7 linked regions of the Oryzias latipes genome follow. The protein of the gene in region 5 interacts with the protein of the main gene of each other region in a pairwise test. Links are inferred from orthologs where the notes say so. Each region holds a gene or a part of one and is shown on either strand. Other genes may lie near its edges.

What was found.
Region 1: the proteins of thap1 (region 5) and bag5 interact in binary tests that used the Homo sapiens proteins (3 or more experiments, as listed by UniProt). The two-hybrid records come from large-scale screens. The link is inferred for Oryzias latipes from reciprocal best matches to the Homo sapiens genes THAP1 and BAG5.
Region 2: the proteins of thap1 (region 5) and gpatch2l interact in binary tests that used the Homo sapiens proteins (3 or more experiments, as listed by UniProt). The two-hybrid records come from large-scale screens. The link is inferred for Oryzias latipes from reciprocal best matches to the Homo sapiens genes THAP1 and GPATCH2L.
Region 3: the proteins of thap1 (region 5) and AP-1 complex subunit beta-1 interact in binary tests that used the Homo sapiens proteins (3 or more experiments, as listed by UniProt). The two-hybrid records come from large-scale screens. The link is inferred for Oryzias latipes from reciprocal best matches to the Homo sapiens genes THAP1 and AP2B1.
Region 4: the proteins of thap1 (region 5) and akap17a interact in binary tests that used the Homo sapiens proteins (3 or more experiments, as listed by UniProt). The two-hybrid records come from large-scale screens. The link is inferred for Oryzias latipes from reciprocal best matches to the Homo sapiens genes THAP1 and AKAP17A.
Region 6: the proteins of thap1 (region 5) and mettl13 interact in binary tests that used the Homo sapiens proteins (3 or more experiments, as listed by UniProt). The two-hybrid records come from large-scale screens. The link is inferred for Oryzias latipes from reciprocal best matches to the Homo sapiens genes THAP1 and METTL13.
Region 7: the proteins of thap1 (region 5) and c19h7orf50 interact in binary tests that used the Homo sapiens proteins (3 or more experiments, as listed by UniProt). The two-hybrid records come from large-scale screens. The link is inferred for Oryzias latipes from reciprocal best matches to the Homo sapiens genes THAP1 and CHLSN.

Annotation. Positions count from the first base shown.
Region 1 is NC_019880.2:21,267,694-21,272,193, reverse strand, and holds the start of bag5 (BAG family molecular chaperone regulator 5), read right to left. Parts: upstream 3,028-4,500; 5' UTR 2,389-3,027; coding exon 2,333-2,388; intron 1,850-2,332; coding exon of another isoform or gene 1,721-1,849; exon of another isoform or gene 1,602-1,720; intron 1,467-1,601; exon of another isoform or gene 983-1,466; coding exon of another isoform or gene 960-982; intron 702-959; exon of another isoform or gene 535-701; coding exon of another isoform or gene 503-534; intron 1-502. Other genes in the region: apopt1 (apoptogenic protein 1, mitochondrial), read left to right, coding at 1,721-1,849, 3,712-3,909. UniProt on the Homo sapiens protein: Co-chaperone for HSP/HSP70 proteins. It functions as a nucleotide-exchange factor promoting the release of ADP from HSP70, thereby activating HSP70-mediated protein refolding.
Region 2 is NC_019880.2:13,366,755-13,371,289, reverse strand, and holds the start of gpatch2l (G patch domain-containing protein 2-like), read right to left. Parts: upstream 3,058-4,535; 5' UTR 2,951-3,057; intron 1,241-2,950; 5' UTR 1,227-1,240; coding exon 565-1,226; intron 1-564.
Region 3 is NC_019872.2:25,038,775-25,042,541, reverse strand, and holds part of AP-1 complex subunit beta-1, read right to left. Parts: intron 1,832-3,767; coding exon 1,747-1,831; intron 1,516-1,746; coding exon 1,429-1,515; intron 896-1,428; coding exon 741-895; intron 1-740. UniProt on the Homo sapiens protein: Component of the adaptor protein complex 2 (AP-2). Adaptor protein complexes function in protein transport via transport vesicles in different membrane traffic pathways.
Region 4 is NC_019879.2:18,192,583-18,195,085, forward strand, and holds the end of akap17a (A-kinase anchor protein 17A), read left to right. Parts: coding exon 1-16; intron 17-111; coding exon 112-903; 3' UTR 904-1,846; downstream 1,847-2,503. Other genes in the region: asmt (acetylserotonin O-methyltransferase), read left to right, coding at 2,409-2,498. UniProt on the Homo sapiens protein: Splice factor regulating alternative splice site selection for certain mRNA precursors. Mediates regulation of pre-mRNA splicing in a PKA-dependent manner.
Region 5 is NC_019870.2:29,950,423-29,954,450, reverse strand, and holds the start of thap1 (THAP domain-containing protein 1), read right to left. Parts: upstream 2,801-4,028; 5' UTR 2,580-2,800; coding exon 2,509-2,579; exon of another isoform or gene 2,440-2,508; intron 874-2,439; coding exon 681-873; intron 1-680. UniProt on the Homo sapiens protein: DNA-binding transcription regulator that regulates endothelial cell proliferation and G1/S cell-cycle progression.
Region 6 is NC_019862.2:3,849,598-3,853,364, forward strand, and holds part of mettl13 (methyltransferase-like protein 13), read right to left. Parts: intron 658-3,767; coding exon 445-657; intron 82-444; coding exon 1-81. UniProt on the Homo sapiens protein: Dual methyltransferase that catalyzes methylation of elongation factor 1-alpha (EEF1A1 and EEF1A2) at two different positions, and is therefore involved in the regulation of mRNA translation.
Region 7 is NC_019877.2:9,264,797-9,269,262, reverse strand, and holds the start of c19h7orf50 (uncharacterized protein C7orf50 homolog), read right to left. Parts: upstream 2,847-4,466; 5' UTR 2,749-2,846; intron 2,452-2,748; 5' UTR 2,444-2,451; coding exon 2,321-2,443; intron 2,199-2,320; coding exon 2,079-2,198; exon of another isoform or gene 1,850-2,078; coding exon of another isoform or gene 668-1,849; exon of another isoform or gene 1-667. Other genes in the region: G-protein coupled estrogen receptor 1-like, read left to right, coding at 668-1,849. UniProt on the Homo sapiens protein: Hormone secreted from the intestine in response to cholesterol, where it acts to inhibit cholesterol synthesis in the liver and VLDL secretion,leading to a reduction in circulating cholesterol levels. Acts through binding to its receptor, GPR146.

The sequences.
Region 1 (4,500 bases), on a different chromosome or scaffold from region 5:
CCTCATGCATTTGAGGTTCTGGATTCCCTCTGATGAGGAGAAAACAGCTCAATAGATTAGATGTCAGGTTTTCCACCACATGCACGGACACGCGCGAGCATCACTGCTGCACACAAGCGAAGCGGCCGCAACCTTTTCCTCCCGCGGCAACAATAACGCGTATTAACAAAACCAGATTATGCTGGGCCTCCTCTAAAGCGGGTTTATGTAAGAGGGCTGGACATTTCCAGAGGGGAAAGCTGCCAAATCTCAGCATTTATTAGGATAATCGGAGTCCAGTCCCCGCGCGGACGGCCAATCAGCGCGCGCCTCCGTTTGGTTACAGCAGCCAGAGAGGGCCTCTGAGGCGCACGCGGCCGTTCGGAACCCGAACCGGACGCGGTTCAACAGCCGCCCCGCCAACGCTAGTCCCCCGCGGGAAACCCTGCGTGGCCGCTGGCTCTGCGGGCGGACGAGCGTGAAGCCGAACCAGCCCCCCCGCCCCGCCCTGACGCCGCCTCACCTCTTCAGGACTCCGAACACGTTCGCGCACATTCTGAGAGATGTCTGTTTCCATCAGCAGAAAGCAGGCGGCCGGCGAAGCTGGGGAGCAGCCGCGTGCGCAGACAGGAGCCCGCGGAGGTGTCGCGATGCTCCGGCGACCAGCAGACAGACTCTGCCCGCCCGCCTGCAGTCCGGCGGCTGTCGCCCCTCCCACCTCTAAGCCACTACGTCTGCAAACATGGTTTTGTCCCCCCCCCCCCCCCCCTTCTTTTAAAATAAAAAAAACCCCAAACACTTGACCTACACGCGCAGATATTTGACTTCGAAAGATGAAATCCCACCACCGGGTCTTTTTCCAGCCCGTTAACACCGTTGTGAGCTGTCGGTGATCACCTGACTGACTCTGCCCCACCTTGACCGCATAAACTGCGGCTTTACGCCGGCATCTACCCGCCGTTGAACCGCCCCAGTCTTACCTGCATAACCAGCGAACAGCCATGTACCCCGCTGCGAAGGAAAAGCCCCAAACCTTCTGTTGAAGATCAACATTAGCCCGCCTAGCTGCACCTTCACGGACTTACTTTCCCGTCTCAGCCTCGCCACTATAGTTTCACGGAGTTCGATTGTTTCGCTGAATCTACCCTCCCACTTCGTATTTTAATCAATATTTCAATCTCTGAGTGTAACCAACAGCTACAACTATATCTGTACACATTCCTAACACTTTGGTTAATCTTGTTGGTCATTATCTCGTTTAATAATGAAGCTTTTATCAGTTCAGACGCAGGGAAGGTTGTTGTCGGCCAACAGCGAGTGCGCTCCATTTAATCACCAACTCTGTGCGGAGACAAACTCGACCCGTTTTGTTTATGTTTTATTTCGTTATCGCTTCTGATAAAACATAAATATAGCAGTGTTTTTAAATAACGTACTCAAAACGTAGTTTGTAGCTTTGGTACTTGAAGCTTTTGCGATGAAAAGTTTTGACAGTATCTTTCTAGAAATATGTTTTATTTAGAGTTTAGTTTGAAACCTCATCTGCTCCGAACCCGTCGGGCAGAGACTTGACTAACGGCTTGCGAAGGTGCTGTTTCCGAGCGTCTCTAGCCGTTTTTTGCAGCTCACGTGACCACCTGTCCTACATCCTCGCGGAAGGACATACAGTTGGGAGACATGGGTTGTTCGCCACCGTTGCGTGTTTAGCTTTTCTGCGTGACAGTGCCTTGATTTTGCGGGAATGACATTCGGGGCAGCTGGACGCTTGTCGTGGAGGAGCGCGCGGAACTCCCGCGTGCAACTGCTGGATGTAAACATCCGGCGCAACGGCTCTAATAATCCAACGAGCCAACAGGATAAAGCCGCCAAGGTGCGCGCGCCGCCGCAGTCCGTTCCGCGTTGGTGTTTTTATCCCAGGCTCCGTGCTCACATTACCGGAGGAATCAGAAACGCTGAGGTTCTGATCCTGCTGTGAAAACCAAGATAACGACGCATGCGCACTAGGTCTGCACAGCCAAAAAGTCTAATTGACCTGCAGGTTACTGACTGGCTGAACTAAACATGGCTTTAACCAACTCCTTCTATGTTTAGTGCTGCTTAGGCCTAACGGACAGGCTTTTCATCAGCAACCATGAGAGATTTTCACGTCATCTGGTTCTGAAGTTTCATTTAACGGCTCTAGATCCTCACAGAAAGGCTGCGAGAATCAAAAGACACCAGTAGAACCCATCTGTAACAGCTGTCAGTGGGTTTGTTTGGGCTAATGTTTCTGATTCACTGTAGTAAATGTAACCGTAATGATGAAGAAAGTCCAAAGACTTCTGCAGCTGAAGGTAGTGATGTCATAACGCACCTTTTTTCAGGCCTCTGGGTCCTGGATGGAGTCTTCCTCCTCCCTGCTCTCCTCATGCCTGCTCTCCTCCGTGCTCTTCTCCTGCTGCCGTCTGCTCTGCACTGATAAGCAGATGCCTCCAGTTAGACTGCAGGGCCTCCTGCATCCCTCCTGCAGGGCCTCCTGCATCCCTCCTGCTGCCCTCCTGCAGGGCCTCCTGCTGACCCACCTCAGCCCCAAACCGTAGGAACCTGAAGCGCCAGAGTCTGATGGATTCTGTTGGTTATTCTTAGATGCGTTCACATGCTTTGGCCCGGTTAAAATGGGTTTTCTGGAGTCCTCTGGTTCCCTCTGCATCATGCCTGGGGGGCCGTCCCATCAAAAACCCTCAGACTGCGCTGGCTCCAAAGGGCCATCAAAGCTGCAGACCTATTCTGGATTTTAAGTCTGGCCTTCTAATCAGAAATTCATGTACAAATGTATTTAGATAGAATTCTCTTTTATGTGAAGAAATAGGAAGAGTCCAATTGCCATAATAATGTTCATAGTTTATTTGCTTTTAATGCATTGAATAGTTGGCCCTCTTTGAAAAAGAGTTTCCTGAAAAAAGCAAACAGTTGTTGGTTGATCTTCTCCTAAAGTTCTCCACTGTTGTTTTTCCACATCCAAAGAATCCAAAGGGAACATTCTTAGAACATTCTAGACACTGGATGGTCGCATGACTTTATTCAAAGTCTGTCCACACATTGGACTGGAATGATGGACTGATCCGTGTTAATGACATCACATGTGTGTTGCTGTGATTGGGCGGTTTGACCTTATAGTCAAATAAACCTACTGTACCTCAATCTAAATGGTATTTTCCAAGATCAATATAATCGATTTTAACGATTTTTTTAATGGTAGAGGTCAATTGGAATTGATTACCCTCTTGGCTCAGACAGATCGATCTGGTGGGACAAATTAATTCATTGTTAGTTATCTTTTTGACTTGTCTCTGTGTTTTTAACTCTGGGGGAATCCACAGGATCAACTTTAGCTCTATGGTTTTTATTTATTTCTTTTTCTCTCTAGTTTTTCCTTTATTTTTAGGTTTTCATTTGAAGTTTTTTTTGGTTGCTGTTAATTGCTGCTTTCCAAAATGAAGAAACAAAATCAAATTTGCTTAATTACCTTTAAAAGCCCTGAAAAAAAAATGGTTGCTGGGTTCTCCAGGGTTAAACGAACACCTTTTTCTGGTGTTTTATTTTCTTTTTTTTTTTTACATTTTTTTGGTCACTTGTAAAGTCCATCTTTGGACAAATGCTGCAAACATTAGGATGTGGGCATGGGACTGCGGTTTGCAGTCCATCTGTTCTTAGTAAATACGTTTAATTATTGTTCATATTTCCATTTTTCAGCGGACACCTTTGAGACCGGAGCCCAGCTCTACACATGACTGGATCGGCCCCCCGAACCCGCTGTCCAACCTGCGGCCGATCATCTACCGCATCCCTGAGGAGGAGTCGGAGCTGGAAAAGAGGCTGAGAAACCTGAGGCAGGAGACGGAGGACTGGAACCACAAGTTCTGGACCCAGCAGAACCTCAACTTCAGCCAGGTTGAAACCAACATTTTTTACAAGTGTGCCATCCTGTCCAGACGAGGTTTTCAGGTTCCTCGTTTCCCGACATGCATTCAGGAACATCTCGGCATCGGTGGGAGCTGCAGGACACGTGACACGTCCTTCCTCGGTTAAAACGTCCTCCCCCACACAACGGGGTCCAACATGGCTGGACTGACAGCAGTCGCTCCTAAAAACCAGCATCAGGAAAACTGATGCTTGTGTTAAAGCAAACAAAACACCGATTTGACGTTCCTCTGGGCCGCTCACTTTAAAAAGCACTTTAACTCATTTTATCAGTGAATAACAATATTGTGAAAACCTTACATATAATAAATAAAGAAGAGCAGGACTTGAGTGACACTGCTGGTTTTTTAAATCAGTTATTTTGTCCTGTGTGTGTCGGTATTTGAGATTCACCACCAGAGGGCAGCAACGCGCTTCCTGCACAGGATTTCTGCAGAGCATCCAAAAGCATCACTAGTCTTTAAATGCATTTAACAAAACCCAGAAAACAGTCAGCGTTGTGCTCAGTAAAATTTTAAAATGATCAGTTTTAGAGAAATTTACTTGCATGGCTCTATCTTC
Region 2 (4,535 bases), on a different chromosome or scaffold from region 5:
TTTTGGCTTTCTGGGTTAAATCTATGCGAGACTACGCACTTCGACACCACCAGGGATCACAGCTTTAATTACCCCAACAAAGATTGGAATTTACTCCAAACAAATCAATACCACTCCAAGTCACGTATTTATTTGTGACCATATTTTTCAAAAGGAAATAATGAGCGATGAGATGCCCGGAGGCCAAACTATCAAAGGTGGCTCCCTGGTGATCCTTTCAGACGCAAGGATAGAGGACACAAAGATGATTATTAACTTTTGAATATGAGCTCAAGACTACAGAAGGGACTTCATCGGGATATTCCCCTTTTGAACTAGTTTGAAGGCCTTCTGAATACTAATAATAAGGATTTTCAATACAAATAATACCAAGGGTTCTATTGTTTCTTTGCTACTGTCTAAAATAGAAAAAGATATCATTTTAATTTTAGAAAGAAACTGTTCAAAGGATTATATTGAATTTAAACATGCTCATTTCTGCTAAAAGTGTTTCACAAATGTGAATTCATTTGAAGTGATAAATATGGAAATGTTTCATAAAGGACCAGAAGGATTTTAGATTACCCTTCAGACATGTTCTCATCAGCAGCGTCTCTGTGCTCCTTCGTCATCTTCCTTTTCCAGCACTTCTTCCCCAGCAGTCTGCCTCCTTCACTCTGTCTCTCGTTCTTCATCCAGCCACCAGATCTTCGCTTGGATCCCGAGAGACGGTGTACCTTAGGCGGTCTGTGCCTCTGTTTGCGATCCACCTCTGACACTGTTAGCTTCTGCTGCAGCCTGTAGGTCACCCCGGAAGTCATACGCTTCACCTTCCTCCGCCTCCTGAGTGGCCGTCCTGGATTATTCTCGGTGAAGGAGTCAGACTCTGGCCAAGAGGGCTGCCTCGTCCTAACTGAGCCCCCCACAAGTGATGACCAGTGGTTGGTAGCAGACATGTCGTCAGAGTCACTGCAGTTGGCCACCGATGCAGGAAAAGTGAAGGACGAGTTCTCCCTGAAGTCTTTAGCTTCATCTAAACTGGATTCCGAGGCGTCAATCCAGCATCTTCTGGCAAACAATGGATAAAGGGAGGATTCGTGAAATTTCTTGCGTCCCCTGCGGCGTCGGATCTGTCGCCGATGCTGCAGTGGACTCAGGACCATTTCCTCCCACAGCTCCCCCAGCTTATTCGGCTCTGAGGCCTGTTCCAGAGCTGACACCAGGTCCTGCACCAGCTCATCCATCATAGTGCTGGAAATGACTGACACAGCAAAAGACGGTTAAAATCTGCAGTGACCGCCAAATTAGCATAAACTGTAACATTGTTGTCTGGATTAGATATGGTGTCTATGTTGTCTTTTATGAAAAAACATAATATTTTCAAAAAGGAAGCAAATGCTGAAGAGCCTAGAGCAAAATCATTTTGTATGAAAAGACAAACTAACACTCTATAAAAGACAAGGTCCTCAAAAGTAAAGTAGCTTGTACTTATACAAAAATGACATTTATTATTCCCATGCTTTTTACACATCCGTTCATTTTGACAGCAAATGGGATTTCTAAACACATTTGTGTTGACACTTTTCAATTAAAACAGTCAGCACAAAGAACCGATAATATAGGGTTAGCTAATTGTATATATCGTTAATAATTATATTCTTGGTAACATGAGAGACAAATGAATTTAAGAAAAACATGTAAATTATGTTATTGTGGGAAAAGCTAGAAGTTTTAATCAAATATTATTTACAACAGGAGATAAAAAAGACATTTCTTGGACTACATATATTTACATCATCAGTTATCCCAGTTTATGGGATAAATGGTTACCTTTAGTGTTTATATACATGTGAATACAATCTCATAGCAGGTGAATCAAACAGAGCTTTTTAAATATTTCACCAATGAAAAGCAGCCCTTTAATGTTAGATTCCTGCCTCATGTGAAGACGAGAGGTCATTTGAAGTTCAATTTAAGATATGTTGACTTTCATTTAAATAAAACCATTACAGTGAAATGGAAACAATGTATTAGTTGTCTTTATTGTAAATTAGAACATGTTCTTAATGGCTTACCTGGTTAAATAAAGGTTAAATTAAAAAAAAATGTTTTTTGTTTTGCTAACTGCTCATGCATCACGTGTATCTTTGCACATTGATGCCTTCTGTATCCCTATATTTCCCAGAGCTGATCAAAATTCCATTGCAATTTGCTATTATAATGTCAATAAATGATTCTGATATCGTCATCATTCATAATGATCACAAATATCGCACATAGTGAGTTTTTCTCGTATGCAGCCCGAGAGCTAAGCCAACATAGCAGCTCCTGTCTGTATTATGTTTCTCCATTCTTTTGATGGTATGATGATCTCATCTGCTGTCATTTAAAGCAGCTTTCTTAGCAGAAAATGAATATAAACGACAAGTATTTGTCCTAATCTAAAATGCTAAGCTAAGCAAACCAACATGGCTATAAATTATAGATTATCTTATTTTCTCTAGTATGTTTACTTGTGTTAAAATTTAAAAGAAGAATGTAAACGTGAAAAGACATAAGACATATTTGTAATGACAGGTTTACTACTAGCACGGATGAGCAATGATCACTGCTGTTGTCCTTGAGAACGTTTGTTTATCATCAGGAAAAGCGAAACCATCGCGTTGTCTTTCTAATTAGCTAAGAAAAACTGCTGGGAATCTGTGCGGCATGACTGCAGCAAAAACAACAGCACAGCAGCAGGTTGTAGTATCTATCTGCATGGTGATGGTCCCTCACTGCTGCTGTCTGTTACATAACAGCTCACACACATGACATCAGCAACAAGGACACCTCACTGCTCTACGCCCTCAATGTCAGCAAAGCTAGCCGTTTGTTCGCCCGCCGACCGGTCTCACGCATACAGCTCACGCAGCCGCTCCGACAACGAACCGCGAGCAATAAAAGGAGTTCACGGTATTGTGATACTCACCTGTCTCTGCTCGTGTTGTTTTGTTGTCAGCCCTCTGGTGGGGCGTACACGCACTTCCGCCCTGCACTACAGCCAATCAGCAGATTCTACGTCACCGTGACGTACAGCTGCGACAGCAGACAGCGCGTGCAGACAGGAAGCCTCAAGCTGACAAGAAAATGATTTGTTGCTGTTATTTTACAAAAAAATTGTTAAATCTTTCTGAAACTAATGTCTTCACGTTTTTTTAAAATAAATTTACCAAGTAGTTTTCTTTCTTCTTGTTTTTTTTGTCAGAACACAATATGTTTTTCTTTTATTTTATACGTTTATTGGTGTGAATTAAAGCTTCCAGGTTTTTATATGGGAAATCCTTTTTGTTGTTTTTTTTCACCATGTTTTGCCCTCTTACTATTTTCATATCTTACTTTTAGCTTCTTTTATTTAAGGAGAGTAAGATCATTAAAACGATTGTAACATTATATAGGCTGCTACAGATATTCAGAAACACTAAATGCAGCTTGAGATTGTAGGTTTCAAGGGACAATGAAACTTAAACAATGATGGACAAAATGACAATAAAAATAATGCTAAAAGCTTTACTACCTCAGAATGAGGCAGATTTCCAATCTTTTTGTCTTATGCACCTCATGAGCGATATTTGTCACAATTCACTCATGTGTTGACAATTCTTTTGGATCAAACCAAGTTATCTGAAAAATATACAAATATCCCTTGTGCTATCCTAGGCACTTTGCCATTGGGAGTTGGGTCATGTAGACCCACTAGACAGTGCGCTGAACCTTTTTTCTTCAATGATTTGTGATCTTCACTGTTGTCCATGGATTACATGAAATCTTTCCACCTTTATCCACCTTTGTCATGGTAGGAATTACACGTCAAAGTAAGGGTGGGGTCATCTAAGATAGCACAAGGGTTAAACGAACTATTTGAATTGCAAAATAAATGTAAAGTACCTGTTCAGTGTTCTGTGTTGGTCTTTTTCTTCTGGCTAAAGCTTCAAAAATACATTTCTTGGAGAATATGGGAGCCAAAGGTGATCTGGTAGTATACTGATTCTTTTAATTTTGTCTCCTCTGAACATCCAGTTTTTTCCAATTTGCCCTCCATCTTTAAGCCCGTTTATTTGCTGAATATCCAGTCTCGAATGATTAGGCTGCTTACATTGTTTGTTCATTTTCAGTGTTAAGCCTAACATTGAAAACTTATAAAGTAATAATAAAAAAAAGACAACAGAAATATGACAAAAATCCTAATATGGACAGGATTATTTATACCATCTGCAATGTGCCTACAACCCCCTAAAATGTATATATTTATAAACTGTTTGGAATCACTGATCCAAGGAGAAAACAAAAGAAAAAAACAATTTTAGACCTGCAGGCATCTCAAGACTTAGTTAAGTTTTATGATTCAAGTTTTGCAATGTTTCCAAAAATAAATTTAGATGCTTAACTCTAAACAAAATAAAAGCTTATTATCTGCTGAAAACTTTATCAAACAGATCAGAAAGACAAACGCTGAACTTTTGCAGAAAGTGTGTTAATAAATACATGATCTGAATGGCTTGTTATGGAAACCATGC
Region 3 (3,767 bases), on a different chromosome or scaffold from region 5:
TGTGTTCCTAAAACAGTTAAAGATTGGTGTAAAAAAAACAAAAGATTATTTTTATATTGTATATTTATCCAGTATTTCTTTGCATTTCGTATACTGTGCATTCCTGTGTTTTGTATTCTTAAAATTTGTTTCATCTCTTCAACAGCATCAGTCTTCCAGAGGACTGCAGAAAGAAATTAGCCTGTGTCTAAACTCTGGTCTTTCACTATATTGTGGTTCATGTTTTGTGGTCTCGCAATGTCTTTCAGGCAACTTTGCATGCTTTCTTTTTTTTTTACAGTGCACTGTGTTCTGCGTTCTGATTGGCGGTTGTCAATCAATCTCCTCAGTGCCATGTCTCCTGTACAGAATGTGTGCAAGTTGCCAAATGTACATAAAAGTTTGAGAAGATCTTCGTTCTTATTCAGTAATACTGGTCTCATTTTTCTAAAAGGGTTTGAACTTTGAGAGTTTAAACAAGGGAGAAGAGTATGACAATGTTCATGTCTGTTGGAAAAAAGTGTTTAGTGAGGAGTTTTAAAACATCTGTAATCCCACTTGGGGGGATTACACCCATTGTGGGTTAATTATGGAATGTATAACCCGCAATAAACAAGGAAACACTGCATTTACGTTTGTTTTTGATGTTCATTAATATACAATGTCTCCGTCAGAATAAATACATGTTCAAATAAATATTCAAATACAAAAGGAAGCATGACATTTGAGCAAGACTCCCCATAAACTACCCAACACTGTACCGTGTAATTGGGGTTTCCCGGCTGAATCCGGAGCTCGGCTAAGATCCAGATGCCGTTGGTTAGCTTGAGGGACTGGTAAAGCATGTCCTGACCTTCAACGTTTCTTTTGGCAATAGTGTAGATGTTGTTATTCTGCAGCTTTCCTGATACGGCGTCTGAAACAAAAAAAATGTTCACTTTACATCACGAAACCATCCCATTACAAAAAGTATGAATCACTTTAGGTACTAACACAAGCATATGCACTACGCAATGCACGTTTTCTACAAAGAGTGAGTTTATTCTAAAAGAGTTTAGGTGAAATATGACTGGTCACCTTAAGAGTTTTAGGTTATCTGACTACTCAAGTAACAAACCACTATGGATGACTGCCATCCAGGATAACAGAGACACATTAATGGGGGGCTTCTAAGAAGAAAAAGGCTGGATAGATAAAAAGAACCGAAATCCAAAGACAGGCATGCAGGTGAAAAAGAAAACAAAGAAAAGTGTGAGATGGAGATGCATCGCATGTGAAATATTTGACAATGAGGAAGAATATGTGAAAATATTTTGGATCAAGGAAAGAAACTGTTGCCCGCTTGATCTCTGCGGTAAATATTTACAATAAAATAAAGCAGATCTGCAAAGTTATCTAATGTTAGAAGAAAAACAAAAATCTAAAAATGTGTTTTATAGTGTCACCTACCTGCATTTAAGTGACAGTCCTTTATCTGATACTGCAGCTCATTTTCATTGGGGATGTCTTTCCATGTTGCCAAGAACACCTGTCGCTCTGAAGACGGTTAAAGAGAGTCACATAAAACCTACTGGATGCTTTGTTAAATGAAACAAATATATGTGTGAATATAATAGAATAAAAACCTATTCATTCCATTGAAAAAATACTTTAAAAATCCTTAACAATAAACCTAAAGAGAATAGATTTGTGAAAATATTCCTGGAAATGGTCTTTAGCACAGATTTTCTGATGTAAAATATTTTTAGAAATGCACAACATTCGTACCCATTTTTCCATCCTCAACAAAGAATATGTTGAGAGGGATGAGAACGCTGAAGTAAAACACATCAATGCTATTCTTCACAGCCACCTGCGCAAAAACCAACACAAGACAAATGAGAAAGTAGCTCAGACAAAAACAGAGTTTAAGGCGACAACGTTCCTTCAACTAAAACTAAAATATGAATTTCGCTTTTCCAAAACATCTGAACATTAGAAAAGTTTGAGGTGCCTCCTGAGGAGCAAATGGGTTCCCTCTGTTTACGGTCCATTATGTAGTTTTAACAGGTTTTTTTTTTTTTTTTTTTTTGCAAAAACAGTGGAAGCAATTAATAAGCTTACTTTGTGTAAGTTGATGAACCTGGTTAACAAAGGGCAGGAAAAGGTGACTGCAAAGCCAAGGTTACCAACAAACATAGCAAAAAATAGCAGTCAACAAAAATAAACAGCCCAAGCTTCAACTCAATCCCGAGTGCAGGTGAGCCGGTGCTTATTAAACTTTTCACTAATAAATAGTTAAAAAAGGTGAAATATACAAATCTGTAAAGTAAACAAAAAAAAGTGCAAAGAAACTACGTACATGTTGGCTCCTACAGTTATTAAAACCTTAGTCTGGATTATTTTGGCTCATTACATAAAAATCTATAAAGAGACTAAAAAAAATTTAACATGAGCAGTTTTAGAAAAGAAACAGCATCAAACTGAATATTACTAGATCAGAATTTTTCAAAGTCCTGATATTGTCATTGTGTTTGATAAAAGTAAGCAAAATTAAATGCGTTGTTTTCTTTTTTGTGACCTTATATCAGTGTTTTTCAACCTTTTTTGACCCACGGCACACTTTAACCTTGACAAAAATCCCGCGGCACACCAGCATCCAAAAAAAATAATAAATAAGCAGAAATTCATGGTCTCTATTGATCGACAGTCCCCCCCCCGCAATCTCACGTGCATTTTGTGATAATTGTGGCCAAAAAAGCAGGAAGTTGCGGCTGTTTTTTCTAAGAGATGAAATAAAAGTTAAATTAGAAAATTTAGAAACTGTTTGTTTGTCCGTTGAGGTTTCTAGACATTTCACGCGCACTCATTATGCGCTGGGACACTGGCCCTTTAAGCCAATGCATCATGGGAGATGTAGTGTGAAAACTGCCGAAAAAGGGCAGAAAGACTCGCGTCTGTGAGCTTCATTGTTTTGTTCACGGTCTGACACCGGACTCTGTGGAAAGCTACACCGCTAAAGACGAGCTTTAGCTGGTATTTTTGTTGGAACTGAGAGAATTTATGAGCAGAATTAAGAACAAGGAAGTGAAGACTTTAACCACTTCTGATTGGTCAGACTGCTGACATGTGATTAAGCCTTCAACAATGATTGGCGGAGACAGGTAAAGGGGCGGGACTTTCCCGCAAACCGCTATAGCTGCAGGTAAATACCGTCATTCTTATCAAAATGTCTTTAATAGAATCAAATAAACACAAATAAAAAGTAATTTTAAGATCTTTTATATTCCTCACTACTCAAGTGTTTTATCAGGGCCTGTTTGGATGAACAAAGAGCTGATTTCCTGGAGATGGAAAATGTTTTTAGATCAGTGAATGATTAATGAGGGTAATTTCCCACGGCACACTTGACCATCTCCCGCGGCACACTGGTTGAAAAACACTAGTTTTTCAACCAGTGTGCCGCGGCACACTGGTTGAAAAACACTGCCTTATATGGTTTGATTGATTTAATTCTGTTTGTATTATATTACTATATACATTTCTTTTAGAACCTTACAATCACATTTAGTACATGAAAGGCTGCAAATTCTGAAACCTCGAGAACCAATTTGTTAAAAATGTCTAAAAACGCATTTTGATCAAAGAGATGTAATTATACCGATATTCAAAATGTTACATGATGCATTTTTCTTTAAAATGACAAAATAATATTAAGCTGTTCCAATCAAAATGTACTCTCAAGCAACAAAGAAATAGCAGAATGCTTTCCAATGTACCTTATTCCAGTTAACATGGGTGGTAAAACG
Region 4 (2,503 bases), on a different chromosome or scaffold from region 5:
GCTGGCCAGAGCCAAGGTATGAAACTCGCACAGGTTTTCCCCCTCCGGAGTTTCACAGCCCTTGTTTTGACAGCACAGATGGTTTTCTTTATGTCTCGTCCTTCCCTTCAGACACTCAAACAGCATCAGGAGGAAAAAGAAAAGGCGGAACGAGAGAAGCAAGAGCGACAGGAGCAGGCCAGACAAAAGGAGGAATTGGCTCGCCTTCAGCAGCTGGAAGCCTGTCGGCGCAGACAGGAGGAGGAGCTGCGGAGGGTGGAGGTGGAGAAGCAGCGAGCGCTGGAACTCCAACGTAGAGAAAAGGAGCTGAGAGACAAACTTCTGTCCAACCTCATTAAGAAAAGCAGCGAGGAAACCGCCGGAGTCGTACGGGAACCGGCTGGCTTACAAGGCAGCGAAGAGGCCTCGGATCCTCACTGTGGGATGCTGGAGGTCCTGGGTCGAGTGAACGGGTTGGAGCCAGGAAACGGCAAAGAGAAGCAAGTATCTGAGGCTAGTGTTAGATCAAAAACTTTGTCCAAGAAGAGCTCAAATGACAAACACGAAGAAATGGTTAAAAACAGACATGGAAAGGAACAAACTAGAGGCCACTCACGCAGAGAAAGAAGCTCGCACAGTCGAGGGAGACAGAGGCGCTCTCAGAGTCACAGCCGACGGAGAAGGAGCTCGAGGAGCTCCAGCCGCCACAGGAGGAGCAGCAGCAGGAGACGCTGCAGCACCAGCTCCAGCAGAGAGCGGAGCTGGAGCAGCAGGGGAAGGAGCTGCAGCAGGGGAAGGAGCCACGGGCGGAGTCGCCACACATACAGCAGACAGCGATCCAGAAGCAGCAGTCAGCACAGAGATCACAGGAGACACCAGAGACGCAGCGGCAGCACCAAGAGGAGCCACTCCAGGAGACGCTGAGCCGCTTTTCAAACAGAAAAGTTTAGTGTCTTAGGTCAGAATGCAAAGAAATTCAACCAAACTTCACAAAAGGATCTCAAGCCTACATTTATGAATGTCAGGGGTGTAGATAAAAATAATAAAAAAATATGTCCGTTTTACAAAGTTACTCAGTTGTTCTGTTGCTCAGCTGAAGCTTCTAACGTAAGGAATCTTCTGGCATCTATGTTATGTAAAAATGTGAATGAACACATTTCAGGACGGCAGCAAAGCAAACAGAAAAAAAGAAAAGCTTTGGTGAATATTTTTTAACAAAAACTCCACTCTAGACTTGTTAGGAAACAGTTTTGTCTGTATTAAACCAAAAAGGAGGTGAGAATTTCTTGACCTTTTTTATCAACTGTTTTAGTTGAGCTGCTACAGCTGTAGTGGCGTTTTTAAGACCCAGCATGTCATTTTACTGCTTTAGGCTTCAAAGTATAGGTGATGAAGGTGTCAAAGGGAACTACTCCGACATCTTTTTGGTTTTTGTTTTGTGACTTTTGCAGATGTTTGAAGAAACTGCTTTCATTCTATAAGCCTCAGTCTTTTTTCTTTCTTTCTAGAACCTGCTATTTCCTTTTGTTGTACACAATAAAAGATGAAGCTGTAACTTATAGACTGAAGAATCGGCTTCAGAACAAGCCTTTTATTTTGAAGAGACTTGAAGACACGTGTGCCCTTTTTTTCTGTCCATATGTGAAAAGAGGAACAAAAGTGATTAAAATGAAAATCTACTGTTGAACACAGAGTCGAGTCTGAATGTTGTTCTGTTTTCAGGTTTTTAGAGTGATGCGGCTCAACAGACTGTAAAAGTTTTCTCACTACAAAGACCCATCTGTTCTGCAGGATTACAATTCTCCCGTGAAGCATGACTTACAAACACTGCAAGCTGGTTATGAAAAATAAACGTTTTCAAAGTTGACAAGTCTTTATGGGTGTCTTGCTTTTTTTAGTGTTTTTTTTTTTATAACCTCAAAACGGGTCATTTGTAGTTTGTTACCACTAAACTTCATTTTGTGCATATGTGTCATGACATTCATGTGAGATCAAATGTATTTATGTAAAACATGGGGACATTTTTTTTCTGCATAAGTAATCACAGACCCAAGTAAATCGTACATGGTGAACTTTTTCTTTTGTTGGGGAAAACAAACGGCGAACAAGAGGAGGCACTAATTGGGAAAGCTTGGTGAAAAGCAGTGGGTTCAGGGATAATAAACAAGGCCGCAGTGTTTTTATAGAGTTGTTTCTTTGTCAGACTGAGTCCATGCTCTAATCTGGGTTATCTGGTTGTAATCAGCTTAGCCCACTGCAACTCTCACTGTTATTGCTGCTGGGTGGGCTTTGATTTAGGCTCAGTCTGGTTTTCTCAGCACTGCCAGTCACACTGAGGGCTGCTGCACTGACTTCTCTTCAGCAACAATTTGGAGAAACAAAACCTACTGTTTTTTTGTTTTTAATTTTAGTGGATTTTTGGCCCATCTATGGCATCACATTCCACTCAAGGGGCTCCTGCTGCAGACCTGTACCCCAAAAAAATCCTGGAGTACATGGAAGGCTTTTTGATCTCAAAGGTAAA
Region 5 (4,028 bases):
TTAGCAGTTCAAAACCCGTCGGCTGAAACCCTCCACGGATGACGAAAGAGACACGTATGAACGACTGAATCATACGAGGAAAATGTGCAATAATGTAGGTCGCGGCTGTGAGACGACCTTCAGGTTAGAAACCTGTAGAAGTCAGAAAACGTGAGAAAAAACTAAATCAGAGCAGATCAGTCTGTTTCAGATTAAAACCTTTTACAGTAAGGCTGAGCCGTCGCTGGTCTGCTGACCCACAATGCACCACAACACTGTTTTGCTGACCCACAATGCTGACCCACAATGCACCACAACACTGTTTTGCTGACCCACAATGCTGACCCACAATGCACCACAACACTGTTTTGCTGACCCACAATGCACCACAACACTGTTTTGCTGACCCACAATGCACCACAACACTGTTTTGCTGACCCACAATGCACCACAACACTGTTCACCTGCTTCCCAAACGGGTTTCAGGCCGTGAAACCTACAACCACCGGCCTAGACGCCATGGACACGTTTGTGGGCGGAGCATCACTAGCCGAGTCAGAAACTGGACCAATCAGATTTCTGTATGAAATCCATGCATACAAATCCATAAACATACTTTATGCTACAGACCCCACAGACAGAAAAGACGCATGGCTGCCCGTGGTCATGGCGCTCCTCATCGGCCCTCTGAGCCGCGTTACCTTGAAGCTGAGGTTGGCGCTGAAGAGCGACGGCACGGCGTTCTCCTTCAGCACGCGGTTGTTGCACTCCCTCTTGAAGCAGTCGCTGGTGAAGTGTTGGGAGCAGATGTTGCTGTACTTTGTTGGTTTGAAGTTGTTCCTCCTCATGGCCGCCACCCACTTCCCGCAAACGTCCGGACGCGCCAACGGGAACCTTGCAGTCCGGGACGACAAACACCACGTTCAGCCCATCGCCGGACACGTTTCTGTGCTTCCGTCTGGTAAACAAATGTTTTAATCTCCAGTAAAGTTCTAAACGTATCTAAAGGTGCAGAGGCTCCCGTCACCGTAAACTCTGCCACAGAGAGCCAACAAGGTCCTGGTAGTGACTTATTCTCCCCCCTCCACGACCATTAACATTAAATTAAATCACACCATCTGTGTGACCTTTTTTGCGCCACATTTGACCCCTCCCCCTGGCGGAGCGGTGAGCTGCAGACCATTTGGTGGTTTAACCCCCCAATCCAACCCCCTAATACTGAGTGTCAAGCAGGGAGGCATTGGGCCCCATTTTTATAGTCTTTGGTATGACTCTGCCTGGGTTTGAACCCACGACCTTCCAGTCTCAGGGTGGACACTGACCACAGGGCCGCTGAGCTGGTTGCATATTCATTTCTCATTCCTGTCAGTCATTTCAGTCTTAAACTGCCATCACCCAATGAGCTGTCAAAGTGTTCCCAGAGGTCTTAACGATGGTTTTTTTTACCATTTTCCTTTTCTAGAACAGTGTCTGCAGAGCGGCAGGAGCTGATCACAAATTCACCTCCGAGTTGTGGGCGGGGCTATTGATGTGGACTAAGCCCGCCCTGATTCCCATCATCCCTTTGCCCCCCACCTAACATTAGCAGAGCAACAAAAATGGCAGCATAACGGAGATATCCAGCCGTCAGCTTTGACTGCAACAGGAAAGTACGGTGGCCCTGAAGTACAAATCACATCAATAAGTCATGTGACGCAAAACCTTTTTAAGATCACAACATACAAACAAATATTAAAAAAAATATACAGAAAACGAAATGAAATGATGTAAAATGAAACAATGAGAACCCGGAAAAGGTCCATAGGACTGAGCTGATTGGACGAAGACGCTTGACCTTCATGTCAGTCAGAAGCTGACATGAAGGTCGTGGATACATCCGTCCCATGATCCTCCAACAAATCCACCTTTCTGGTTTCTCCTTGGGCTTCATTTTCCCAACATTTCTAGGAATAGTTTTAGTTTCTGATTATTTGTTTCGCTTTTTATTGGTCGTTGTGAGTTTTTAAATGCTTCACGTTAAGCTATTTGCACTTCAGGGTCACCGTAGAAAAGATGAACCCATTGAAAGCCTTTCTTTGCCTCTAGTGGGACTCGAATAAACGTGTTTGACCGGTTGAATCCAGTGTAACGGTTTGACACCGTAGGATCACTGCAGGTATCGAACGAAACCGGAGCGGACTACCGTCCTTAAGTCGTTCAGTCCAAACGTCTGTACCGGACAGACCCGGATGAGTGGTGAAGGTTAACCTTTGACCTCCTAAACCTGTTGAAGCATTGCTCAAAGGGTACTCGGTAGTCGGGATTCCAGCAGTCACTCGGTTGACCGAGAACCACCAGCAGCATGTGGACCCGCCGGTACCGGACGGACGGACTCATGACCCAAACTTTCTTTTTTATTTTCCCATCATGCACCGTGGATCGGAGCGCGAGTGAGGGAACGTCTCCGTTAGGTGCGTTTACCGGGAGGTTTTCTTCCCGGAAAACCGGCGCTCCGGCGGCGGAGCGTCCGCCTCTGTGGGAGGGGCTTACTTGTGGAAGGAAATGTCTTTGTCTTTGTGGTACCGGTTCTTGCAGCCGTACGCCGAGCACGTCTGGACCATGGCGGCGGCCCGGACAGCAGCCGAACGCGGACAGAGCGAGGGCTTCGCTGCCACTAACAACTATGGCGGCGGAAGAATCACGTGATCTGTGTTCTGAAACGTGATTGGCTCAGGCTTTCTCTGGGCATGCGCAGAGCGCTGGAGAGCTGCGCTTCCTCCAACGGGCGGGAGTGGAGGAGACGAGTTTGAACCGTCAACAGGCACAGCTGCCATTGATTGACTGATTGATTATGAGAGCATTTCAGGGATACAGAGATCTGTGTCACGTGTACAATAACATTAACGTGTCTTCGTGTCAGTGCAACATTCATACCTTTAAAAAAAAAAAACTTACTAAAATAACAAATAATGGACGAAACGACATAAAACGGGCTTGGATGTAGATATTGAGTAAAATGTCACACAATCCAGCTTTTTGTTCTTTTCCCTTCTCGTTCTTATTAGGAAAATGTAATGAGTTTTATTGAAGCTGCTGTGTTGTCGTGACTCATTCTTTATAATATAAAGTTGTGGGGAAAAAGTGCTTCAATATGTGTTGAAATGGTTGAAAGTAAAGACAATGATCCTAAATATGAAGCAGACGTCCACAGTCTCCTCAGTGACCAGCAGACGTCCAGGTTTCACGGTTTCTGGCGTCTCCAACTGGTTTATGGCGGTTGGAGGGAAATGGTTTTGGGTCTTTCCGTCTCTCTTCACCAGCGGCGTTTGCCTGAAGGCAGCAGGTCAGACGGCGGCGGTCCGGGGCGTGTAGCGTCTCTGATGAGGCTCTCTGCTCTGCTGAGGCAGCGGGAGCTGTGGGGGGGTTTCCAGGGCGGGGAGGGGGCACCCAGCATGTTTTGGGCGGTGTTGGCGAGCCGCCGGAGAGCCTTCCTTCTAGCCGCTTTACGGCGGCCGAACCAGGAGCATCTGCAGTGTTGGTCCACGTTCCGCGGTGGTGAGGTCAAAGGTCACCAGCTGTCTTTGGGTCATGTTTGTCTGAGGGAACGGTCTCTGTTGGGCTTTTCAGCTGCTCACTGGGGTTCATACTCACATTTTCTCTTTGAGTTAAAAAAAGGGAAAGTATAGATCAAGTTGTTTCAGAGACTCACAGAATATTCCTTTTTTTAACTCCTAAAACCTTTTTTAGACATTAATGACCAAAGATTTCTGTCTTGTTTGGTTGATTTGGTCAAAATGATCTGTAGGTGTCCTGGATGAAAGGGGTGGGGGTTGTTGTTCATCCTGTATTTTACTCTAACCCAGCCGTCGGCAGCCCGGGCCGGGCGCCACCGCGGCACGTGGAGGGTTCTTCTCACAATGAGCTTTCTTTCCCTATGAGGTCATAAGGCAAGGGTCCAATCATGCAGTGCCGTTACTGTGACTCCGCCCACCTCTATAAATACTAAGGTTGCGTCCAAATTCCCGCCCTAACCCCTATGTGCAGCACTATTATGTAGAGCCCTGGATTTT
Region 6 (3,767 bases), on a different chromosome or scaffold from region 5:
AGGCAGCAGGGGGGCAGCTCATCCCCAGAGAGCAGTCCTTGTTGTCCACATCCAACATGATGGCGTCGAACAAACGACCACCTGCATAGAAACAAATAGCTCAGCCACATCTTTACAGGGTAAACAACCCCACTGACTGTACAGAAGAACTGGACTGAGCTTGTGTGACGTCACCCATAGAAAATGTTCCCAGTCCAGTTCTCTGATACAGTCATCGGTTCTGTTTTGTTCTCCTGACTGTACCAAAGATCTGGACTGAGCGCGTGTGACATCACCCATACAAAAGGCAATGAGTCCAGTTATTTGATACCGTTGATGGTTCTGTTTTGTTTTCCTGACTGTATCAAATAACTGGACTGAGCGCGTGTGACATCACCCATAGAAAATGTTCCCAGTCCAGTTCTATAATACAGTCGATGGTTCTGTTCTGTCCTCCTGACTGACCTTCTTTCTCCAGAGCACAGATGTGTTCCAGGCCGTCCCCAACAGTCACAGTCAAACGACTGTCTGGTCTGAACCCAAACCATTGCGTTGCCACTTCCAGCATGACAGGGTCCAGTTCTACAACTTCAACTGACACTCCAGGAAGAAAATCCCTCAGAAACTGAGGCAGGCCGCCCCCACCGAGCCCCACCAGGAGAACGGACACCGGGACATCTGCAGTGAAGATGGGAAGGACATGTATACTCATCAGAATGAAACGTTTAAGCAGATTTGGACACGAGACCTTTAGAAAAAGATTCAGATTCATGAAAACCAGAACAGGGCTGCATGGGGGGTGCAGTGGTTAGCACTGTCGCCTCACAGTGAGAGTTTGAATCCCAACTGGGACCTTTCTGTGTGAAGTTTTCCCGTTCTTTTCATTCACGTCCGGAAAAACACACATACGCACGCGCGTGCGCACACACACACCCACACACACACACACCAGTCTAGCTTCTTCCCACAGACCAATAACAGGCTTTGTGGCCTCACTGTTGACTCCAAATTGTCCCCAGGTGTGAAATGTGTGTGCGTGATTGTGTCTCTCTGTGATGGACTACAGAACTGTCCATGGTGAACCAACAGTGGTGAGATGGGCTCCAGCAACTCCCAACAGAATGAAGTGGGTTTAAGAAAATGGGTGGATGGAAACTTTAACTTTTGATGGCAAAAGCTTGACAGAGCTGCTCAACTGAATCTGACTCTTCTTTCTTTTAGTAACTTTGAAAATAAATGTTCATGCGTTCATTCATTAAAGAAATTCTATGATACAAAATACAATAGATTAGATGGTTTTTATCAGTTTCTCTGAATGTTTTATCCACCAGTATCTCTGTAGGTGAAGCCTTATGAGAAGAGGGTAAAAAAAATAAGGTTTTATTCCGTTTTATTTTGAAAAGCCAGTATACGGCTTTAATCTTTATTTATTCTTACAGAGGCCTCTCTTTGAAACAATTTCAAGTTTTTAACAAGTGAAATGAGACAACTAAATTTTTTTATTTTCCCAGATTGTTTAAAGTCCCGTTCCAATTATCTTCTGATCTATTTTAAAGTGGTCCCAGTGGTTTTTCATGACGATGATGTCATTTTAAGCCAAAGTCTAAAAAAACTGTTGTTTTCTAGGACATAGTTTCTGCAGAGCGGCAGTAGTTCATCAGAAATTCACCTCAGAGTTGTGAATCGGACTGTCAGCTCAGAAGTACCGGTAAACCTTTCCTGATTTCCCATCATTCACATGTTCACACTCTCTCCTGCTAGCTTACAGCCCCTCACAACCCCGACCTAACATCATGGCGTAAATATCAGAGCTATCCAGCCGCACAGTTTAGATCCAGATTCCAGCTCAGACGAGGAAAACAAAAATGTTCATGGATCTACTTTTCTGAGAGTGGAGGCATCAGAATAAAGCAGAGCAGGGAGACTCTGGCCCCGCCCATTTCAGTTACTGCATCTCCTGTTTCCCTTCAATTAGAATAAAGGAATACTCTGAAATGCAGTTTTAAGCATAAATGCTGTAGAAAGGACTAGGTGTTACAATCCCTAAGGTTACTACCACTTTAAATTTCAGGAGCTCTTGAGGTTCTTGGACTTCCATTTATTGCCAGCGAGACACATCATCAGTTGTGCACCCCAACATCTTAAGGTGTTTCGGCCATTTATCACAATACACCCTCCGCTGAGGTAGGCCCACCACAGGTTGATCAAGCCTGGGTGTGTGTCTCACTGCTAGTTGGTCATTTTTGTCCATGTGATGTCACTTCTCCTCAGCCACAGCCAATGGCTCGCCCTCTCAGCGGTGATGATCAGTTCTTTTAAAGGCTATCTGTGTGCCCGTCCTCTGACTCCAACTTCCCTTAGGAGATTAGTAGTCATGCTGGCGACAAAGCCCCTGCATCCCACCTCCACTGGGCGCTGATGTTCCAGCCTCTATCCTCTGCCTCAGCTACTAAGTTGGAATAGCGAAGTTTCTTACGCTCATAAGCTTCGTCAAGGGAGTCCTCCCAGGGGACTGTCAGCTCTATGATGTAGGCAAGTCGGCACGAATTAGACCAGAGGACAAGGTCTGGACGCAGAGTGGTTGCTGCAATCTTAACCAGAGGCTAAGATAAGCCTCTGGTTAAGGTCGACTCGCATTTGCCAGTCCCTGGCTGCATTCAGAGGGGTCAGCTCAGGGAGGGAGGGATTACTCTTTGGCTTCTCCCCTTCCCGGACAAATGGTGGTGGGTGTCGGCGCACATCCAGGCTGCTGCTGGGTTGGGCGTTGATAAATACCCTCCTGCACTCAAGTGTATTGGGAAGACATCTCAGGACCTGGTTGTGTCTCCATGTATGTCTGCCTTGGGTGAGGCTGGTCCCACAGCCCACTAGGATGTGCTTTAGCATTGCAGTTGCAGAGCAAAGGGGGCAGGATGGATCTTTCCCAAGCCAAAGCTGCAGGTTTGTGGGGAAGGGCAGCACATCGTAGGTGGCTCGTACAAGGAAGCTTAGCCTATTGGATTCCATGCTCCAAAGTTCGCTCCATGTCAGTTTCCTCCTTTCTACTCCCTCCCACCTTACCCATCGGCCCTGTTTTGCTTGAGCGACAGCTGTGCAGCGTTTACCCGCTTCTTCCAGTTGGTGTACCTCCTCTACCACCATTGTTCGACGTTCTGCTGCAGATGCCTTTTGCCAGAGAGGTTTTACCACCCCCAACCCAAAGCCTCCTCTACCTTGTTGGACGTTGCCCACTATGTCGCGATGGCGCAGAGCAGACTTTGCCTGTAGCACTGCTACAGCAGGGGTCCACTTCTTCCCTGTTGCTAGGACTGGAGCTGCACTTCTCACCATCGGGTCTCGGGAATCGGTGAGTGACATGTCAAGCCTCACCTTGGCGCATTTAAATTATTCCACTAGGCTAGAGACTGGTAGTGACAGGACTCCATCATTGTAGAGTCCAACACTGCTGAGGCAGTTGGGAACTCCAAGTCACTTCCTCAGGTAAGAGTTCACAAGCCTTTCCAGACGGTGGACATGGCTAATTGAGACCTCATACATAGTTAAGGGCCACATAAGTCTGGGTAGTAGCCCAAACTCGTAGCACCAAAGCTTCAGTTTTCCTGGGAGTCAAGGAGTGTTTAGTCAATCAGGATGGGAAATCACTTGAGTCAGCTAATCAACAGCAAGCTGGTGAGGGAGAGCTCGAAAACAGGCAGGGTTGAGGCTCTTGAGGACCAGGGTTGGCCGCCCCTGCCACATCGCACTGCCTTTACAACACTCCCCCATCACGCCGCCCAGCCTGCGCTGGC
Region 7 (4,466 bases), on a different chromosome or scaffold from region 5:
CTCAGTCCCATCCAAGCTTTCTTCAACTTTAAAACCAGCGGAGAGGATTACTAAAATGCTTAGCAACAGATCAAAATGGCACAAAAAAAACTCAGAAACGTAACTGAGAATAGATGGAATTATCAGGACTGAATGTTAGGTGTACACCTGCATTGTGTGTTGTGGTGGGTGGCACAGCGACGCTCCTCCGCTTTATCTGAGACATCCTTTAGTGCGTACTCCACAACAGGACACGGCTATCAAGACGGCGAGCAGGGCAAGGACACAAACGTAAGTCTGAACCAGTTTTTGTTTGACCAATTTCACCAACAGTAACGCGTATAATATAAAGAATATTTGACCTTAACTTGTTTTTTTGTGTAGATTTCTTTTTTTTCTTAGGCTTAAGGCTTTTCATTATATTTGCAGTCCTAAAAAATCTCAATCAAAAACTTTTTTTTTAAATGTTGCGTTACACATTCTATGGATTTTATTCAAAATAGAATCTGATACTAACCTCATTAAATTAAGTGTAAAAAAAGTTACTATTTCTGAGTTTCTTTACTTTTAAAATATGTAATTCAAAATAATAATCTTATAAATTGTTGAATTTCTGCTCTGCTTCTTGCAGTTTACAAAGAGCAGATAAATGACATCAAAATCCACCTAGGAAACTACTAGAAGAGCGATGGGGAGGTGGTCTAATGGTTTTCCAGCTGAACAAAGGAGTAATATAGACACAACCATGTATGTGAACTCCTTTCACACTGAGAGCAACCTCACTGTGCTACCTAATGACTCTGATGTGGCCTTCTTTGGATTACAGAGTCAACAACTTTACACCATCAGCCTCATCCTATCCAGCGTCTACACCATAGCCCTGTTCCCCATCGGCCTCATCGGGAACATCCTCATCCTGGCAGTCAATCTGGACCCCAGCGGCCACCTGACAGGCCCGGATCTCTACTTTGTAAACCTCGCTGTGGCCGACCTCACTCTGGTTGCAGACTCTTTGATCGAGGTCTGTAACCTCAGGAAGGAATATTACAACAACGCTGGCCTCTGCACCTTCATGAACCTTTTCCAGCAGGTTAACATGTACAGCAGCGTCTTCTTCCTGACCTGGATGAGCTTTGACCGCTTTGTCGCGTTGACTAAATCCATCGGCCACAGTGTGTCACACACACGCCTCTGCTGCTGCCTCATCTGGGTGTCTTCATCTCTGCTCACCCTGCTGCCGTTTGCTGTAGCTCAAGTGCAGCACGCAGGAGAAATGCACTTCTGCTACGCCAATGTGACACAGATTCAGTGGTTGGAGGTGATGATGGGATTCCTGTTGCCTTTCTGTGTCCTGGGCTTGTGCTACTGGAGAATAGGTCAAGCGCTCATACGCAGCCAGAGATTACAACGTACCCTTCAGCAGAGACCTCGCAGGCAGAAAGCCCTGAGAATGATCTCGGCGGCTGTGCTGGTGTTCTTCATCTGCTGGCTTCCAGAGAACATCTTCATAAGCGTCCACCTCCTGAGAGGAGACGCAGAGGGCGGGACGCTCTGGCAAGACTTCCCACTGACCGCCCATGCTGTCCGGCTGGCGGGGTTCTCCAACAGCTGTCTAAACCCGCTCATCTATGGCTTCCTTGGTGAGACTTTTCAAAAGAAGCTGGAGCTTTTCCTTCATAAAAGATGCGGGTGGGCAAAACTGCAGAAGTCAGCTTTAAGAAAACCCATTTGTGCACCGGCAGCACAGTCATGCCTTCAGGAATGTGACACTCTGAGCCGGTCCTCAAATTCAAACTCTGGAGTCTCTCCACAAACTGGTGTACATCCTACTGACGTTGTGTGTCACACAAAAAGCTTTGTTTTGAAATGAATTTGTCCAACAGAAATCCTAAATGCAAATATTTCTGCTAATGTAAAAATCAAAATGTTTCTTGTTTTAACATTCCAACTGGTGTATATACATGTATATATTTTATATGAATAATCTAAGACTACATTGTGTATCTGCTCCAAATACTGTTTATGTTACATTAGCAAAGACAGGTGATAAAGTGTTGACAAAACATGCGGTCAACTCCATTAAAACAGAATATTCTCACCTCAGTTTGCTTTGGTTGTGACTGCTCTTTGTCTCCTTCCTTTTTTTTGCGCTTTTTGGTCTTTTCCAAGTTTTTTTGATGTTTTACTTTAATTACAGATGGGAACTCTACTTGACAATCCTGAGAAAACAACCAAACAAAAAAAAGTCAAAGTAAAACTGCTGAATCCTAAGTAAATAAACGGTGTAATAGCTAATAGAATATTTTTTAAAAAGGGCTTGCATATTTGCTTCTGCCTTCACCTTTTTCTTTTTTGCTTTTGTCTCAACAATGTCTTCCACAGAAACTGGACTTTCATTTAAACTAGACTTTTTCCTCTTAGGAGATTTGGGTTCCAATTTCACAGACTTGTTGTTTTTCGCCATGGAAACTCCTGCAAGAAGAAGAAAAATAAAACATTAAACTCAAAGATATCCCCCAGAAAGAAAACAATCTAATACGGTGATATTAAAATTAAACCAACGGTTTGTGACATTATTTATATTATTCAATATTCTTGATGTCAAATCAACATTTGAACCAACATTTAGGGAAGTTTTAACCTGATAAAACACCGATTACGTGGTTTTTAAATAAATCGATTAATTTATCAATTGATATACTTGTTATTAACTATTCATTCTGCTGCTACAATGCAAAAATAAACAAACAATGACACTTTTTTCCTTACTGAGGCAGGTCGTTGTAGAAAAGTGGGGAGCATCAACGTGCTAACGATGGGAGCATGCGCTGTAAACCAGGAAGTAAAACAGTTTTGGTAAATCGTGATTGGACAGAAACGATGACTGATTAGTGATGATTGGATGGACAAAATCACAGTATTTTGATATTAATAAAATATTTGGATGGGATTTAGTTCTTCGTGGCATTAATTTAGGCTTCAAATAACAGAGAGTTAGTTTTATTTTGAGAAATGTAATGGTTGAAACGTTGAAATTATATTTACTCAGTACTTACTGTACTGGGAACGTTCTGGTACGGAACCTTCACCGGAAGACATTTGTTGTTGCACAACGGCGTGTTACATGACCTAAGCGGGCAGTGGAAGAGGACCTGTATTTTCTGTGTTCTATAAGATGATCAGTGGTCAACTATGTCTACTTCAAGAATATTCAGTGCTTTGACACGATTAGCTCTCCATCCAGGATTTCCTAATAACGTTTTAACAAGGACGTGGTGAGTGTCACTAACAAATTTGTGCGTGGACTCTGATCCTGACTGTTACTGTAGTTTATTAACAGGGTAATCGTTTAAATCTAGTGCTAACGTAATACGTTACTGTAATTGTAGATACATGTGAGAAAGGGGTCTGAAGTATATAATGTAGGATGGCTTTTAGAGACTCGTCTTTGTGGTACCTTTCAGATATGTATATCTGTGAATTTGTGATTTTACTGGCTTTTTGAATAAGAATTAAATACCCTATTTAAAAAAAGCTTTCTCAGCAGAAAATAGATCTGTCATGATTTGTAAATCTGTGATTTTAAGAGACTTTTTGCTGTGTACATCTGTATTTGTATTCACACCAACCTGACTTAACCAACAAATGCCTGAGCAATATTTAGTGTTGATATTTTGTGCTTTAGATGGTACTGAAGTCACCCAAATAACAATACTCTTGCATATTTAAACAAATGTGTTCATTTTTCTCTACTTTCAGTGCCTTGAGAAATGCACGGTTGCTTGCCGTAAGCGCCAAAGTATCATCCAAGTCACAAGGATCTGAGGATGTGCAGCCGATTGATGAACCCATAAAGTTCTCCACCAGCAAGGCCAGCCACAAGACCTGGAGGGTCAAGCGCTCCATGGGGAGTCATTTTGAGCGGCCATGGTGGAAAGTTGCCCCCATCAGCGTCCTTGTTGCTGCATTTTTGTTGTGGTGTGCCTTCAGAGGAGAGACTGACATTGACAAACAACTGGAGAGGCATTTGTATGAACAGCTTCCTGGTTTGGTTTCAACGGAAGAACCAGACGAACCTCAAAATAAATGAACTCATGTAATATGACAACTTGTATCAAATGTTTTGTTCATACAACAGCTCACGAGAAATACATCCACTAGCTAGCAAAATGATGCTGGCTTTGTAGGATAAAATTTGCTTTAATGTTATGTTGAATTTGTAATTTATTTAATGTGTCTGTATGCATCTGTATGTTAAATAAAACAAATTCAAGTTGAGGTAGCAAAAACTTTATTTACAGCACACAAAAATCCTATGACATGCATGCACACACAGGATTTAAAAAAAGAAAGACCTGAGTGGAATACTTTCAGAAGTTGCAGATTATGGGACTATTCTGAAGTGAAGATAAGTTTAAAGTACAAAAACATGCCTAAAACTAAGAACAATTGGGGCACACAATTACATGTACCAAAAAAAAAAAAAA